Linked DNA regions of Macaca fascicularis. The protein of the gene in region 1 interacts with the protein of each later gene in a pairwise test. Links are inferred from orthologs where the notes say so. Each region holds a gene or a part of one and is shown on either strand. Other genes may lie near its edges.

Region 1 (5,689 bases):
TTTGCCTTTAGATTTATTTCAGAGGGAAAGTTTTAGAAACCTTTTAGATAATTATCTAAATTACAGATGTAACAGATCCATATTCACATTTATTTCTGCTCCTGTCATTTTTACTAATAGATGTTTCCAGCAATATGACTATTTCATGTAAATTTTCAAGTTTAATGTCCTAATTTTGTTCCTGATATTCTCTAATGATTTTTAATGCCTGTTATTAATGTAGTGATAACATATTTGAAATTACTGATGTTGGTTATTACAGCCTTCTTCATTTTTCCTTGATAAGTTTCACCAGAAATTATCTGGCTTCAATAAGCTGTTTAAAGGATTTTACTTAATTTATTTCCCTTATTTAATATTTGTTTTTCTTCATTGCTTTTCTTGGCCTTATTATTTGCTTCATTCTGCTTTCTTTGCTTTTACCTACCTAATTATAATTTAATTTGTTGACTTGGGTGATTATAAATATTCAGATATGTTTCCACTTTACAGATTTAGGCAACAAAATTTCCTCAAAGAAACTTACAGAAAAAAAAAAATCCAATAATATATAAAACGATATATCATGACACAGAAGGGCTTCTTATTAGAAACAAATTGGTCAGTTAAATATTTGAAACTCATAGCTGCAAATAATCACATTAAGAGAATAAAGGGAAAAACAAGATTATCTCAAAAAATATATAAAACTACATGACAGAATTCAGTATGCAGTCATGATACGTACTCTCAGCAAAGTAGGAATACAAAAAAATGATTAATCCACTACACGTATCTGCAAAAATGACAAAACGCTTATATATGGAAATTAAAGACCATTCCTTTGTGGATAGTATGCCACAACACAGCACAGATGGGGTTGAAAGAAAGCAAGAGAAACAAAGGGCTGCCATGAATTAAACCAGTAGAGAAAATAAAAGCCTGGGTCATGCAGGGGACAGTGCCTTATTCAGCCAGCATCAGGAATGATTGAAGTCTGGGGCTTCTACACAGTGGGAAAACGAGCATAGTAATCACAATAAAGAAAGACATCTGAAAGGTGCTAACTTAGCCTCGGATCAGAAGCGCTGTCTGCTAATGCCTTGCTGGTGAAAAGCGTATCCTGCGTAAGCCCTCAGAAATCCCAGAAAACAAAGACCAAAAGAAACGACGCTTTGTCAACAGAGCAAATCGAAAAAATCTTCCAGCAGTGACAGGGCATTAAAAAAAAAAAAACGCAGACATAAGATGGAGTGAATCAAAAAAGGATTTATCTAATTCATGTATGAAATGTTTCAGAATCTATTGGATTCTAATTTTTTTAAAGCAGACAGATACGAAAATACAACGAAGACGTGCATGACTGAAACCAAAAGAGATTAAAGTAAAACCTCATTCTCCTGAGGAAACGGTGTGAGGAGGGAATTAGGGGCTGCCGGAACACAGCGAAGCAGAGGCAGAAGGCAGACAAAAGGGGCTGGGTTGGTCCCTGCCTGTGTGAACAAAAAATATGTCAGATTGGAAAATTGCGGTAAAATCCAAGCGCGGCGCGTACGTTGCCCCCACAGGAAGTGTCCGCCGCGCTGCCTGTGCCCGGAAGTAGGTAGGAACACACAGTCACAGGCAGCCAAGAACCGGGGGGGAAGAAAAAGAGATGCACACTTCCCCTAGAGAAGCCTCCGAGCGCGGCCGCGACTCCGGGCCTCAAGCCCATAAAGAAAAAATACCGGAGACGTTCTGGCACCATTTCGGGGTAAAGAAGCTGCCATGGAAGAGCCTGCAGCTCCCTCAGAAGCCCAGGAGGCAGCCGGGGCCCAGGCAGGTGCTGAGGCAGCAGGGGAGGGTGTGTCTGGGCCGGACCTTCCCGTCTGTGAGCCCTCCAGGGAATCTGCTGCTCCAGATTCGGCCCTGCCACATGCGCCTGTGGGCTGGGCCCCCTTCCCTGTAGCTCCAGTCCCTGCCCACCTCCGCACAGGAGGCCTGAGGCCTGCACCAGCCTCAGGAGGAGGAGCATGGCGCAATCCGTTTCCAAGCCGAAGCAGCGGCATTTGGACAAAGCAGATCATCTGCAGGTATTATATACATGGGCAGTGCAAGGAGGGGGAGAACTGTCGCTATTCCCACGACCTTTCTGGTCGGAAGATGGCCACTGAGGGCAGCGTTTCGCCGCCTGGGGCCTCTGCAGGTGGAGGCCCTAGCACGGCTGCGCACATCGAGCCCCCGACTCAGGAAGTGGCGGAAGCCCCCCCGGCTGCATCCTCCCTTTCCTTGCCTGTGATTGGCTCGGCTGCTGAAAGGGGTTTCTTTGAAGCCGAGAGAGACAATGCAGACCGTGGAGCTGCTGGAGGAGCAGGTGTAGAAAGCTGGGCGGATGCCATTGAGTTTGTTCCAGGGCAGCCCTACCGGGGCCGCTGGGTTGCATCTGCCCCCGAGGCTCCTCCACAGAGCTCAGAGACTGAGAGGAATCAGATGGCTGTGGGCAGGGGGTTGCGGTTTTGCTATTATGCTTCCAGGGGAGTTTGCTTTCGTGGGGAGAGCTGTATGTTCCTCCATGGAGACATATGCGACATGTGTGGGCTGCAGGCCTTGCACCCCATGGATGCTGCCCAGAGGGAAGACCATATAAGGGCCTGCATTGAAGCACACGAGAAAGATATGGAACTCTCGTTTGCTGTGCAGCGTGGTATGGACAAGGTGTGTGGCATCTGCATGGAGGTTGTCTATGAGAAAGCCAACCCCAATGACCGCCGCTTTGGCATTCTTTCCAATTGCAACCATACCTTCTGTATTAGGTGTATCCGCAGGTGGAGAAGTGCCAGACAGTTTGATAACAGGATCATCAAGTCTTGCCCGCAGTGCAGGGTCACCTCCGACTTGGTCGTTCCCAGTGAGTTCTGGGTGGAGGAGGAGGAAGAGAAGCAGAAACTTATTCAGCAATACAAGGAGGCAATGAGCAACAAGGCCTGCAGGTATTTTGCGGAAGGCAGGGGTAACTGCCCATTTGGAGACACATGCTTTTACAAGCATGAATACCCTGAGGGCTGGGGAGATGAGCCTCCTGGGCCAGGTGGTGGGTCATTCGGCGCATACTGGCATCAACTTGTGGAGCCTGTGCGAATGGGAGAGGGCGACATGCTCTATAAAAGCCGTAAGAAGGAGCTTGTCGTGCTTCGACTGGCCAGTCTGTTGTTTAAGCGGTTTCTTTTACTGAGAGATGAGTTACCCTTCTCTGAGGACCAGTGGGACTTGCTTCATTATGAGCTGGAAGAATATTTCAATTTGAATCTGTAGCATTGTGCTGTGGCATGTGGTCTAGTCTGCTGAGGTTCTGTCGTCTGCTATTGCCTGTTTTCCCTGTGTTGACACTCTTATTGCTTTCAGGGGCTGTTGAGGCAGTGCTTCTGTTTTCTTGTCTATTCTGCATATCTTTCCTCCTAGGATTATGGTGATTATCTGTGTTTAAAAAAATAAGTCCTTAAAGTTACTGTTTTGGTGAAATTAATATTAATGTCAGCTTATGGCTTTTTTTGTCATCTCTGTTTTCAACAGGATTAACTCAGTTCTAGTGTAGTGTTTACTGAATTTCCACACTTATTTTGAAGACCCTCAAGAGTAAATGTGGCAGAGTGAAAGGAGAAGTTTTAATTGAACTAGTAGCTTTGTGCTATAATAGCCTTAACAAATGGACCCTCGCAGGGTCTTGCAGCTGCTCATCTGTTTACAGTTTGTTCTTTCCCTCCTTCCCCTTCAAGTGCACTTGTTAAACTGTGATGAACTTGTGATTTTGTGTTTTACTTGACCAAAACCAAGTGTATATGTTTACATGTTTTTATCCTGTTTAGCTTGACATGAAATAATTTATATTTGGAAATATATATTTAAGAATGATATATATATAATATATATGTATAAGAGCTATGTATTTGAAAATATATATAAAAGAATATACATCACAATATTTATGTTTATGTAATAAAGTAAATACAGAGCCGAAAGCTGAAGGTCAAAGCCTAACAGGATTGGCTGTTGTGTGGATGTGAGTTGTGTGAATAATCATTCTGTCCCTTGCACAGAAGCCAGTAATTAGCATCTAATGAAAAGGACTGTTCAAGTGGGTCTGGCCAAATGTAACAGATGCAGATCTTAGAGGACTTACAAAGCACTATATTGGTAATTCTTACAATGGCATTAATAGCTCACTCTATAAAAACAGAAATTGTGTTCCTACGCAGTTTTGCCACCTTCTCAATAATTCTTTGTAACAGCAAATCCTAGGCTCAGAGGCACAGTGCTTTGTATTTGATATACAAAGTCTCTAGACTTTCCCAACAAGGGGCTTTAGACAAAAGATTTCAACATAAAAGTAACAAGATTATAAAAGGGAAAATAGAACAAAAATACTAAAACCAGTGAGAATAAAATAATGGAAAGATAATAAAATATAGAAAGCACTAAAAACTAAGTGTAAGAGTAATATAGAAAATTTACATACAACTTAGATTAAATGAAAGCAGTTTAAAGACTGAAAGTCAAAGGCTATAAGACTTCATTACAATCAAAATGAAACATCCTATTTAAAATACACACAACATAAAAATACAGAAGCATTCAAAGTAGTAAGATGGGAAAAAAAACCAAACAGGTGCTGTGACTGTCTTGATTGTAGACAATGTTTATGGTAAGGATAAACACTTTGCTGGAGATAAAAAGGAATGATACATAAACATTAAATTGTAATTCACAGGAATATATAACTGTTCAAATTTTGTATACATTTAATAACGTTGTATCAGATACACAACTGATAAAAATAGAAAATCCTAACTCCAGACTCTTAGTGGACAATTTTAATACACCTTTTTAGTGACCAAACAAGCAAAGAAAAAATGAATGTGAAAGATAATTATGCCATTTTAATGACTTACCTGCATAACTTATGATCTGCATCAACTGCAAATGCACTTACCTTGGCTGAAGTAGCTGAAAAATATGCTAGGAGTGTGAATCTTGAGTCCCAGGTTATTCACACTGTCCTGACTGTCCAACAAATATGGCACATTTAAGAGTTTTTATACCATGTAATTTGCATGCAAAAGGATGAATTTGTCAGAACTACCTAATGTGGTACTTGCTATAATTTTTCTCATTATCCTGATGAGGTAAATAATAGAGAATTTAAAGGTTTTGCCCATAGAGTTTATGACCCATAGCTGTGAATTAGTGGAACAAAGACTGGAACTCAAACAGTGTATGTCCAGAGCAGTTGCACTTACCATGTTCACTAGGAGCAGGTGGACTAGCTGAGTGTAGCTGCTGGAGACGCAAGTACAGCCTTTAAGTATGGATGCTTCAGCCAAGTGGAGCAAAGATGGACATGAATAAGCTCCCGCAGAATATAGGAGCCATGGGGCTTTTGTCTATAGGCTGCCAGCTCAGTGATTTTAGTCCACTGCTTCAGAGTGTGCCTCAGCCTCCTATAATTTTACATTGCCTCTCCCTTCTTACATGACTCCTGGTGCTAGTAAGTACCTCAGCCTATTTGCCTGGACCTTTTGCCATATTCCTTTCCTTTTGATTCCTCTTAGCGAAAGAATTCACCAATTAGGACACCCTTGATGCCTGACTATCACTGGCATGCAAGGTGAGTGACAGATTCCAAATAAATTCCAAACATCTGAGGTTCCTGCCCTGCAGTTGTGCAGGAGAAAGA
Region 2 (4,899 bases), on another chromosome or scaffold:
CAACGGCTTTTCCAAGGTCGCACAGCCAGCCAGCCAGGGACACAATCCAAGCCTCTCGGCGACAGGTCCAGGGCTGCCTGGACTCCGGAGTGTGGTGGGGGCATCTTGGCGGCCTTTTTCCAGCCGACCCCGCCGCCAGCCCGGCCCAGGCCCAGCTGGGTGAGCTGATGACTCAACGGGCGGGCACTGCATTTTGCTATCCTGCCTCGTCCCGCTGCTCTAGAGGGTTCCCAGCTCTCGGGCCAGACGGGTGACAACTTGTCTGAGTGAAACCGGGAAAGCGCCGCCCCTCGGCGCTCAGCAGGCGGCGGGGGCGCCGCTCAGTCAGTCAGCTAGTTGTGGCGTCCGCCAGGCCTGGCGGGCGGCGGGAAACTCGCCGCGCGCGGTCCGCCGCTCAGTTTCCCATTGGCTCGTCGGGTCCCCCGGGGTGGTACCCTGGGGCAGCTCCCTCCTGTGATTGGGTGGCAGAGCCTCGGGCCCCGCCTCCAGTCCTGGCTGTGAAGGCGAGACCGAGCAATGCGGCCGCAGGTTCCGGCGTGTTGCTGGCTGCAGAGAGCGGAGGCGGCTGGCTCGGCAGGCAATGCTCCCAGCGGCCATTCCCACCCAGCTCGTCCTTCCTCCCCACCAGCCCGTTTCCTTTTGTCTCCATTTCCGAACTCTTTGGGACGTGACCCTCTCCTAAGATCTGGGCTTTTATGGCGGCACTGCACCCCTGCCTCAAATCGTACTTCCCTCCGCTGAGATCTGAGCCCTTGATGAGACTGTGACCCGCCTGTAAATCGGGTGCTCAGTGCCGCTCACTACTGCAGCGCTGTCCTTAGATCTCATGCCGGAGACTTCACTATTTCCTGTCCCGCTCCACCTGAGCTCGTCAGCCTCCCGCGCTGCGGCTCCCACTCACCTCCCCTCGGCCCTGCAGAGGAGGCTCGGCGCCTCCTGTGGGTTCACCTGACCCTCCCGGTCCCATCCAGTTTGACTGGGGCCGCCCTGATGGAGACAGCCGGACCCCGGCCTCACCTGGACTCAAAGTCTTGCGTGCAGGTCACTGAGCCACCCAGGGAGGTCAGGGCCCTAACTCAGAGGTCGAAAGTCAGGATCTCTAAATCAGATTCCAGTTCCACTCCCAACCCATCGCCAAGAACTGGAAAGAGACAGGAGGAGTGTCACAGGGGAACTTTATTGAGAGGAAACATGGTCACACCCAGCAGACATGCTTTCCTTCAATGTCGGTCTTGCACTGGCGCGCGCGCGCACACACACACACACCCATCTCCGGCCCCTGCCACTGTCCAGTTCTCAGCCACAAGGCGGGACATTCCTCAATTCCTACGACCAGAGGCAGCAGGGGCAGGAGTGAGGCAAGAGGGAGGGGAGAAGTAGCCTGGTCCTGGGGTCGGGAGGAAGCGGTGCGGAGAGCAGGGCTGGGGTCATGACCAGTGGTTAGGTGCGCTCAACAGCTGCAAGAAGAGTGGGATCCCCAGCCCCAGGTGGCCTCAGCTCTGCCAGTCCCTCTCCACGGAGCCGTTTGGAGTAAGAACAGCGCCTGGGGGAGAAGGGTGGGGCCTCCCACCCCATATTAGTCCTCTCGGCAGGGTGGGGGACTGAAGGGGGCAGGGCAGGGTGGGGCGGTGGTGGGCAACACTCAGCTCTGGGGCTCCTGGGGAGCCTCGCCCCCCTCTTCCCCGGCGTTGTCGGCCGTCCACAGCGTCAGGTTGTCTCGCAGCAGCTGCATGATGAGGGTGCTGTCTTTGTAGGAGTCCTCGCTGAGGGTGTGCAGATCAGCCATGGCCTCATCGAAAGTGGTCTTGGCCAGCGAGATGGCCTCCTCGGGGCTGTTGGCGATCTCGTAGTGGAAGACGGAAAAGTTCAGGGCCAGGCCCAGGCGGATGGGATTGGTGGGCGGCATCTCCTTCTTGCTGATGTCCATGGCCTCCTGGTAGGCTGACCGGGCTGAGTCGATGATGCGCTTCTTGTCGTCACCAGTGGCCACCTCGGCCAAGTAGCGGTAGTAGTCGCCCTTCATCTTCAGGTAGAAGACCCTGCTCTCCGCGTCCCCAGCCTCCTTGATGAGATGGCTGTCCAGCAGGCCCAGCACGGTGTCGCACACGCCCCGGAGCTCAGTCTCCACCTTCTCCCGGTACTCACGCACCTCGGGGCCCTTCTCCTCCGAGCCCTCCTCATTGCTTTTCTGCTCAATACTGGACAGGACCCTCCAGGCAGCCCTCTGGCCGCCCACCACATTCTTGTAGGCTACTGAGAGCAGGTTTCGCTCTTCGCAGGAGAGCTCCTCACCTTTCTCCACGGCGCCCTTCATGAAGGCTGCCATGTCCTCATAACGTTCGGCCTGCTCTGCCAGCTTGGCCTTCTGGATCAGACTGGCTCTCTCCATGGCTCTGGGGACACACAGGCGGGCGGCGGGCTAACTGCTGCCTGGGACCAATGCCGGACTCTGTGCCTCTCCTGCTCTTGGCCTGCCTTTTGGCTGGGTGGCCAGGCCCAGAGAAGGGTGGGGAGGAGCAGGGGGCGGGACCAGGGCCCAAGACCTGCCTCCCTCTCCTCTCCTCCCCACACCCTTTCCGGCTCTGCAGTCAAGGTAAAAAGGCTGGGATGTGGGGGTGAGTCATCAGAACAGTCAGCAGAAGAAATCTGGGCGTGGGCCCCACCTGCACAGGCACCTTTCCAGGCTCTAGGCTGCCCCCTCTTGTTCGGGGCTGGCATCATATGGCTGCTCACATCAGGAAACTGCCTGGCTTCTCAAATCAGATCCTCCTTCACAGCGTCCTTACAGAGGCTAAGGGCGGCTTTAGCCCCTGGCTGCTTCTGCCTCGACAGAGCCCATAAAGGTTCAGGAGGATGGGGTTCCCAATCCTGCCAGGTAACTTCTCCCCTTGATTCAGGTGAGGATAACTTATGTTTAGGTAGGGCCATAGAGTTTCCCAAGCACTTTCATATTCACCATCGAATTTAATCCCCACTGTGTCTCTGTGACACACACAGGACCACAGAGATGGGAACACTAAGTCTCAGAGAGGGGTGAGATTTGCTCAAAGTCACATAGCCACCACTTCCCTGAAACTCCTTTCTGCACCCTGCTTCCTTTAGCTTTTCTCCCGTTGAAGTCTCTGACCTATGAGCTCCAGGCTGTGTTTGGAAGTGAGATCCAGGCTCTTTCTCAATCTACCTGAAGATGGTTCCATCCCTCAGGCCTCACTCCCCCTCAGGGTCCCCTCTGAGCTCCCAGAATGCGCAGGTGGCAGCTTTCAGAGTGCCACTTAATGAAGTGTTTAACAAGCAGCCTCTGACGCTCCAGCCCAGCCTTTGTAATTAGTCACCCAGTAGGTTTGTTGGACACATTTCCCATCACTACACAATTTTCCCTTTCAAGTTGGTGGCCTGTTGCCACTTGTTTGAGGATTTACCCTCTGGCCCTCCACACCAGGTCACTTGCCCTCTCCAAGCCACATGCCATCAGGTACCAGTGGGGTTCACAGAGGGTGGGGTCCAGCTCCCCGGCTGTCCCACTTTCCTGCCTGACTCAGACTGCTCTCTGTCTGAGGCTGGGAAGCAGTCCAGTTTGATCCCCCAGGGGGGACGCTAGCAACCTGGGGAGAGAGAGGACTGAGAAAGGGAGGTGGCAGTGACACATACCATTCTGTTTTATGGGGCAGCAATCCCAGCTACTCCCCCAGCCTGTCTCTCAGAAGTTTCCCTGTTCCTTCCTTTTTTTTTTTTTTAAATAGAGACAGGATCTCACTACATTGCCCAGGCAGGTCTCAAACTCCTGGGCTCAAGCAATTCTCCTGCCTCAGCCTCCCAAACTGCTGGGATTATGGGCATGAGCCACTTCCTTCCTTTTGACCATTACCCCACCTCTGACCCCTGGCAGAGTCCTCAGATGGAGACCTCTGTTGCCAACCTTCTTTCCCTGCTTGCTGGGGCCCTGGCCTCAAGTTTCATCAGGAGTTTCACCAAAGGGTGTTGGCATTGAGCCTACAGGGATGGATTCCTGCTTATCTGCCCCACCCCTAGCCAAAGCTTAGATGGGCCTCGGGTACGGCTCCTTTCACTGGGATTCTGCCCGCCTAATAGTTGAGCTAGGATAATTTCACAGGCCTGTGTCTCCCCCAGGTACCCTGAGTGTCTGAACACTCATCTTCCCTCCTAGAGGGAGGCTTAGGCCAGAACTCTGGGGACCAAAGATGAGATTCTTCTCTTTTGCCACAAGGAGGAGTAGGGACATGTCTGGACTAATGCTACAGGGTTTCCAAGGAAGTAAAGGGGATTTCAGGTTTGACAGCCCAGAGATTTTGCTCAATTCAGAGAACTGACGTAGAAAACGATAGGAACCACACGAAAATACCAGCTTATAGAGGGTATCTTGAGGTAGTGAGACTGACTGATTTTGCTTCCCCTTGATTTTCTTTTCTATTTTCTTTTTTTGGGATAGGGTCTCACTCTGTTGTCCAGGCTGAAGTACAGTGGTATGATCACAGCTCACTGCACTCTCAACTTCCTTGGCCTCAGGTGATCCTCCTGCCTCAGCCTCCTAAGAAGCTGGGACTACAGGTGCTCACCACAACGCCCAGCTAATTTTTGTATTTTTTGTAGAGACAGGGTCTCACCATGTTGCCCAGGCTGGTCTCAAACTCCTGGGTTCAAGCAATCCTCTTGCCTTGGCTTCCCAAAGTGCTGGGATTACAGGTGTGAGTCACTACACCTGGTCTTTTTGATTTTCTTATTCTCTCTAATTTATAAATAGTGAATATGGGTCGGGTGCGGTGCCTCACGCCTGTAATCCCAGCACTTTGGGAGGCCGAGGCAGGCGGATCACGAGGTCAGGAGATCAAGACCATCCTGGCTAACATGGTGAAATCCCATCTCTACTAAAAATACAAAAAA
Region 3 (5,231 bases), on another chromosome or scaffold:
TGGATATCCAACTAATCTTTTCAAAACCACTTTTTGAAAAGAAAAATGCTTCCTCCACTTCATTGAACTGTCACCTTTATCATAAATTAGGTAACTGTGTAGGTAGGTATGTTTCACAGGTCCATATAAGGTAGACACACACACACAAACACAGACACATTTTAATCTTTGAGACAATATCATACTCATAATTGTATTAAATTTTGATATCTAGTAGTGGACGTTTTGGAGCTTTCTTCGTCTAAAAGGCTGTCTTAGCTATATTTGGCTCTTTGTAGTTTTTTTTTCTTTTTTTTTTTGAGACAGTCTCACTCTGTCGCCCAGGCTGGAGTGCAGTGGCGCAATCTCGGCTCACTGCAACCTCTGCCGCCCGGGTTCAAGCGATTCTCCTGCCTCAGCCTCCCAAATAACTGGGACTACAGCCGCCTGCCATTGCGCCCGGCTAATTTTCGCATTTTTAGTAGAGATGGGATTTCACCGTGTTAGCCAGGGTGGTCTGGATCTCCTGACCTCGTGATCCGCCCGCCTTGGCCTCCCAAAGTGCTGGGATTACAGGCGTGAGCCACTGCACCCCGCCCACCTCTTCGTATTTTCATACACATGGTTGAAGTCTGCTCATCAACAGAAAGTGAGCTGTTGAGATTTCCATATGGATTGCACTAAATTTATAGATGAATTTGGGTATAATTGACATCCTTAAAATATTGAGTGTTTCCATTCATGATCATGGTAATACCTATACTTAGTTATTCTTTAATGTTCTTGAAACTATTTTATAATTTTCAGTGTAGAGGTCTTGAAAGTATTTAATTAGATTTATTCCTAGATATTTGATTTTTAGCAAAACTTATTGGGCTATAATTTACATACAATAAGATACACACCTTTTAACTATATAGTTCAATGATTTCAACAAATGTATTTATCAATGGAGTCACTACCTCATTAAGATACAGAATGTTTTCCTCAGCTGAGAGAGTTCCATTATGCCTCTTTGCAATCAGAAAAACCCCAACTTTCAAGCCAGGCAAAAACTGATTTGATTCAACTTATATCAGTACAGATTAGTTTTGCCTGTTTTAGAACTTATATAAATGCAATCATGCAGAAAACAATTGTGGCTGGTGTCTTTATAGATACAATTTTTTTTTTCATTTTTTTAAGATTCATCTATGTTACTGTTTGTATCAGTAGCTTGTCACTTTTTTATTGCTTAGCAGCTTTAAAATGTATGAATACATCACAATTTGTTTATCAGTTCACTTGTTGGACATTTAGATTTTTATCAACTTTGGGGCTATCATAAAGGAAATTTCTATGAACTTTCCTATGCCAATATTTTTGAGAAAATATGTTTTAAAATCTGTTGGGAAAATTCCAAAAAGTGGAATTTCTAGGACATATGGTAAGCCTAAGTTTAACTTTTTAAGAAACTGCCACCAAGTCTTGGAGTGGTTGAACCCCTCACCAACAATCAATGAGAGTTTCTATTGTTACTATTTTCAAAAGTGCTTGGGACTGTCAGACATTTTAAGTTCAGCAATTATAATGGGTGTGCAGTGGTTTTTCATTCTGGCTTTATTTTACATTTCCCTGATAGTTAATGAGGTTGAGCATCTTTTCATGAGCTCGTTGGTAATTTGTGTATGTAGTTTTGTGAAATGTTTATTCAAATCTATTATTTGCCTTCTTGAGTTTTCGAAGTTCTTTATATATGCTCTGAATTCAAACCCACTGTCAGATACACATATTGTGAATATTTACTCCCAGCTTCTCACTTCATTTTCTTAACCATGTGGTTTAAATGGTAGTTTTTAATTTTGATAAATCCAATTTCTCATTTTTTTTTTTGTGATCTGTTCTTTTTCTGTCCTAAGGGATTGTTTTCTCAAAGATTATAAAGTTTTTCTCTATGTTTTATTCTAGAAGTTTTCTAATTTGAGTTTTTACATTTAGGTTTATGACCATTTTGAATTAATTTGTGTATAGTATAGATAAAAGGCAAGGCTCCTGTTTTTCCTTTAAGAATTCTGTTATTTCAGCACCATTTGTTTAAAAGACTATACTTTCCATATCGAATTACTTTGACATCTTTGTCAAAAATTAATTAACAGGCAGAAGGAGGTGAATCCTGGGAGCCAAGGGCAGAGAGAGGCAAGTCCCCAGAGAAGTGGGAATGGCCAACAGCTCCCTGAGAAGATGCCTTCCGTCCTTCCTGGGCAGGCAAGGGAAGTCTCAAGAATACACAAGAGAAGGGAGAGTGGCAGAGCCCAGGCTGGGGATGTTAAAAGGGACTCACGGTGAGGATGGGGGCGGGCCCGAAAGTCCCACCTGACTCCAGGCTGCAGGAGGGAGCGTGGGACGGGGGCGGAGCCGCTGGCGATGACAACAGCCCCACGTGATCGGCCAACACTGAGTCTTGCCTCGCTCTGGCGTCGGAGCCGCCGTCGCTCGCTCCTTTCTCGGCTGTGGTACCTGTTCCCGGTGGCCCTGAGGACGTGCGGGCCAGGTGCGGCCCCGAAAGCAGGAAGCGGAGGGGGAGCAGGTAAGGGAGACGGAGGGGGTCCCTGGGGTTGGTGTGGGGGAGCGGCCCCGGCCTGCGGATGCCCCACCCCCGAGGAGCCGCGCTGAGACGCAGCCGGTGCACGATGCAGCCCCGGGGCCCCGCCGCGGGACCGCTAGCCTTTAGTGAGCGGAGGAGTGCCTGGCCCCGCGGGAGCCGGCGGTCCTGAGGCTGCGGTCCTGAGGCTACGGCCCTTCTGAAGCACCTGCCTCCGCCACCAGCGCAATCTTTTCTGAGATCCCTGCTCCGCCCTTCTTGATGCAGAAAATGGTGGTCAGCTTGGGGGGCGGGGCGGCTGAGGCGCGGGGAGAGGGCGGCGAGGAGGGCCCGGGCCCGGCGCGGGGAAGGGGCCGGGTGGCGGCGGGTCCTCGCTAGTGTTCCGCTGCAGCAGCCTCCACTCTTCCCACCCCGGCCGTCTGCAGGTCTGCGAGGCTAAGTGTCGAGGCGACGCACCTCACGTCGAGAATCGGGAGGAGGAGGAGACTGCAAGGATAGGCCCAGGTCGGTGCGAGGGACGGTGGCGGGGCGGGGGTCAGAACATGACGAAAGCCCAGTCTGGGACCCCAGTCGGTGCCTTCACTGCTACGCTTCGCAATCCCCCACCCCCACCCCTTCTTCGTCCTCCATTTTGGCGCCTGCAGAGGCCTGGAGATGGATCTGCAGAGAAGATGGTGGGCTTTGCGGGAGAGAGGGGCGCGGACTGCCCCCCCCCACCCCGAGGGTACACGGGGCCTCTCTGATGGGAAAAAAAATGAAATTTAAAAAAGGCCTTTGAAATCCAGGGCTCTGAATTTTGAAAGGTGGGTAGTCGGGCCTCTGTCCTCGGTGCTGATCAGTTCACCAAGAATTGAGTCCGTTTTCTCTCTGTCTCATAGGAGTAATGGAGTCCAAAGAGGAACGAGCGTTAAACAATCTCAACGTGGAAAATGTCAACCAGGAAAATGATGAAAAAGATGAAAAGGAGCAAGTTGCTAATAAAGGGGAGCCCTTGGCCCTCCCTTTGAATGTTGATGAATACTGTGTGCCTAGAGGAAATCGTAGGCGGTTCCGTGTTAGGCAGCCCACCCTGCAGTATAGATGGGACATAATGCATAGGCTTGGAGAGCCACAGGCAAGGATGAGAGAGGAGAATATGGAAAGGATTGGGGAGGAGGTGAGACAGCTGATGGAAAAGCTGAGGGAAAAACAGTTGAGTCATAGTCTGCGGGCAGTCAGCACTGACCCCCCTCACCATGACCATCACGATGAGTTTTGCCTTATGCCCTGAATCCTGATGGTTTCCCTGAAGTTAATAGGGAGACCCCAGCTTCCTAAACTTACACATTTGTGGTGTACCTTTGTCGTAAACCTTTTGATGTTACCTATTTCTTGTGGGTCTCCTATTACCAGCTTCAAACTGAATGTTGTTTTGACCCAGTTTGTAAGTTTCTGTCAGCAGGGGAGTTTTACCTACTGCATGGAAAGATGCTCATTATATATTGTGAAGTTAATAAAACAGTTTTAAAAACCATTCTCTGCATTCTTTTTTACTTTAAATCTTAAATATGAACATAAACAGTCATATATGTACACATATATACACATATATAGAAAATCGTGTTTATCTTTGTGGTAGAATTAAGAGGGAGTTTATTCTTGCGTATCCATAATTTCTTATTTTTTAAAATGGAACACGTATTACTTATAAAAAGCAATGTGACCACCTTATAAAAGCAATGTGAGCACTTAATAAACACTTGTGACAGAATCTCAATTTTAACTTGCTTCTGGGATCTCTTTTTAGAAATGTTTGAGAGACACATCTCTTTGAAGATCATAATATTTATCAGTAAGATGAAGACAATCACCTCCCAGGCTTATTGTATGGACCAGAAAAGGTAATGAGGTTGTAAGCTTTCTCCCAAGTTCTTGTTCTTACTGACATGCATGACCCAACCCTTTAGATATTCCCTTCTGTTATTAGAGGAAATCTCCAAGGTGAGGTCTTCCCTATATTCACAAGTCCAGTGGGCTAAGGAGTAGGTACTTTCATTCCTCTGCTGCTGTGCTCTATTCTCATCATCTCCCCTGGGTATTACTCTGTTTTCTAGGTTTTGCTCCCTACACTGGCTCCTTCCACTGCAGATGTTCAGGAATCCTCAAAGTGAGAAAGTCCCACCAATTTCTCTGGAATTTCCAGTGGATTGAATCCTTGCTCTACTCTACAAAAGAGTGAACAAATCCCCTCTCCCTGCTTTGTTTCATGGAAAAACATTGTCTAGTTCTTTCCTTACAGGTAGTTCTGTCCCAGGAAACCTCCTCCTCAGTATAGCAGACTATGTAAGATGTGTGAGGAAGCACAGCCCACTTTCAATCTGAGATAGTCCCACCTCATACCAGCTCACATTCACCTGAAATCCATGAATGTACAGAATTTTGTTATCTATATGGAGTTGGACATCGGGAAATCACTTAGTGAATCAATGGATACACAAATGAGATCTTTATGAGAAGTCTATGGGAAGACAATTGGGGTTAAGTGTCCCAGCAGAACTAGGGAAATAAAATCCCCGTCAATTTGTGCTAATTAGATGAAATACACACATTTTATGTATGAGGACAGTCTCATAAACTTAAAGTCAGGATTCCAGAACAGGAGTTGGCAAATAACCCAAATCTGGCCCACTGC

What was found. The genes of interacting proteins can lie anywhere in the genome.
Region 2: the proteins of MKRN3 (region 1) and SFN interact in binary tests that used the Homo sapiens proteins (3 or more experiments, as listed by UniProt). The two-hybrid records come from large-scale screens. The link is inferred for Macaca fascicularis from reciprocal best matches to the Homo sapiens genes MKRN3 and SFN.
Region 3: the proteins of MKRN3 (region 1) and protein BEX2 interact in binary tests that used the Homo sapiens proteins (3 or more experiments, as listed by UniProt). The two-hybrid records come from large-scale screens. The link is inferred for Macaca fascicularis from reciprocal best matches to the Homo sapiens genes MKRN3 and BEX2.

The regions. Positions count from the first base shown.
Region 1 is NC_088381.1:5,417,168-5,422,856, reverse strand, and holds the start of MKRN3 (E3 ubiquitin-protein ligase makorin-3), read left to right. Parts: upstream 1-1,637; 5' UTR 1,638-1,746; coding exon 1,747-2,948; coding exon of another isoform or gene 2,949-3,270; exon of another isoform or gene 3,271-3,528; coding exon of another isoform or gene 3,529-3,550; exon of another isoform or gene 3,551-5,689. UniProt on the Homo sapiens protein: E3 ubiquitin ligase catalyzing the covalent attachment of ubiquitin moieties onto substrate proteins.
Region 2 is NC_088375.1:208,247,001-208,251,899, forward strand, and holds SFN (14-3-3 protein sigma), read right to left. Parts: upstream 2,454-4,899; 5' UTR 2,390-2,453; coding exon 1,643-2,389; 3' UTR 1,159-1,642; downstream 1-1,158. UniProt on the Homo sapiens protein: Adapter protein implicated in the regulation of a large spectrum of both general and specialized signaling pathways. Binds to a large number of partners, usually by recognition of a phosphoserine or phosphothreonine motif.
Region 3 is NC_088395.1:109,687,800-109,693,030, reverse strand, and holds protein BEX2, read left to right. Parts: upstream 1-2,414; 5' UTR 2,415-2,821; coding exon 2,822-2,836; intron 2,837-2,985; coding exon 2,986-3,064; intron 3,065-3,438; coding exon 3,439-3,830; 3' UTR 3,831-4,073; downstream 4,074-5,231. UniProt on the Homo sapiens protein: Regulator of mitochondrial apoptosis and G1 cell cycle in breast cancer.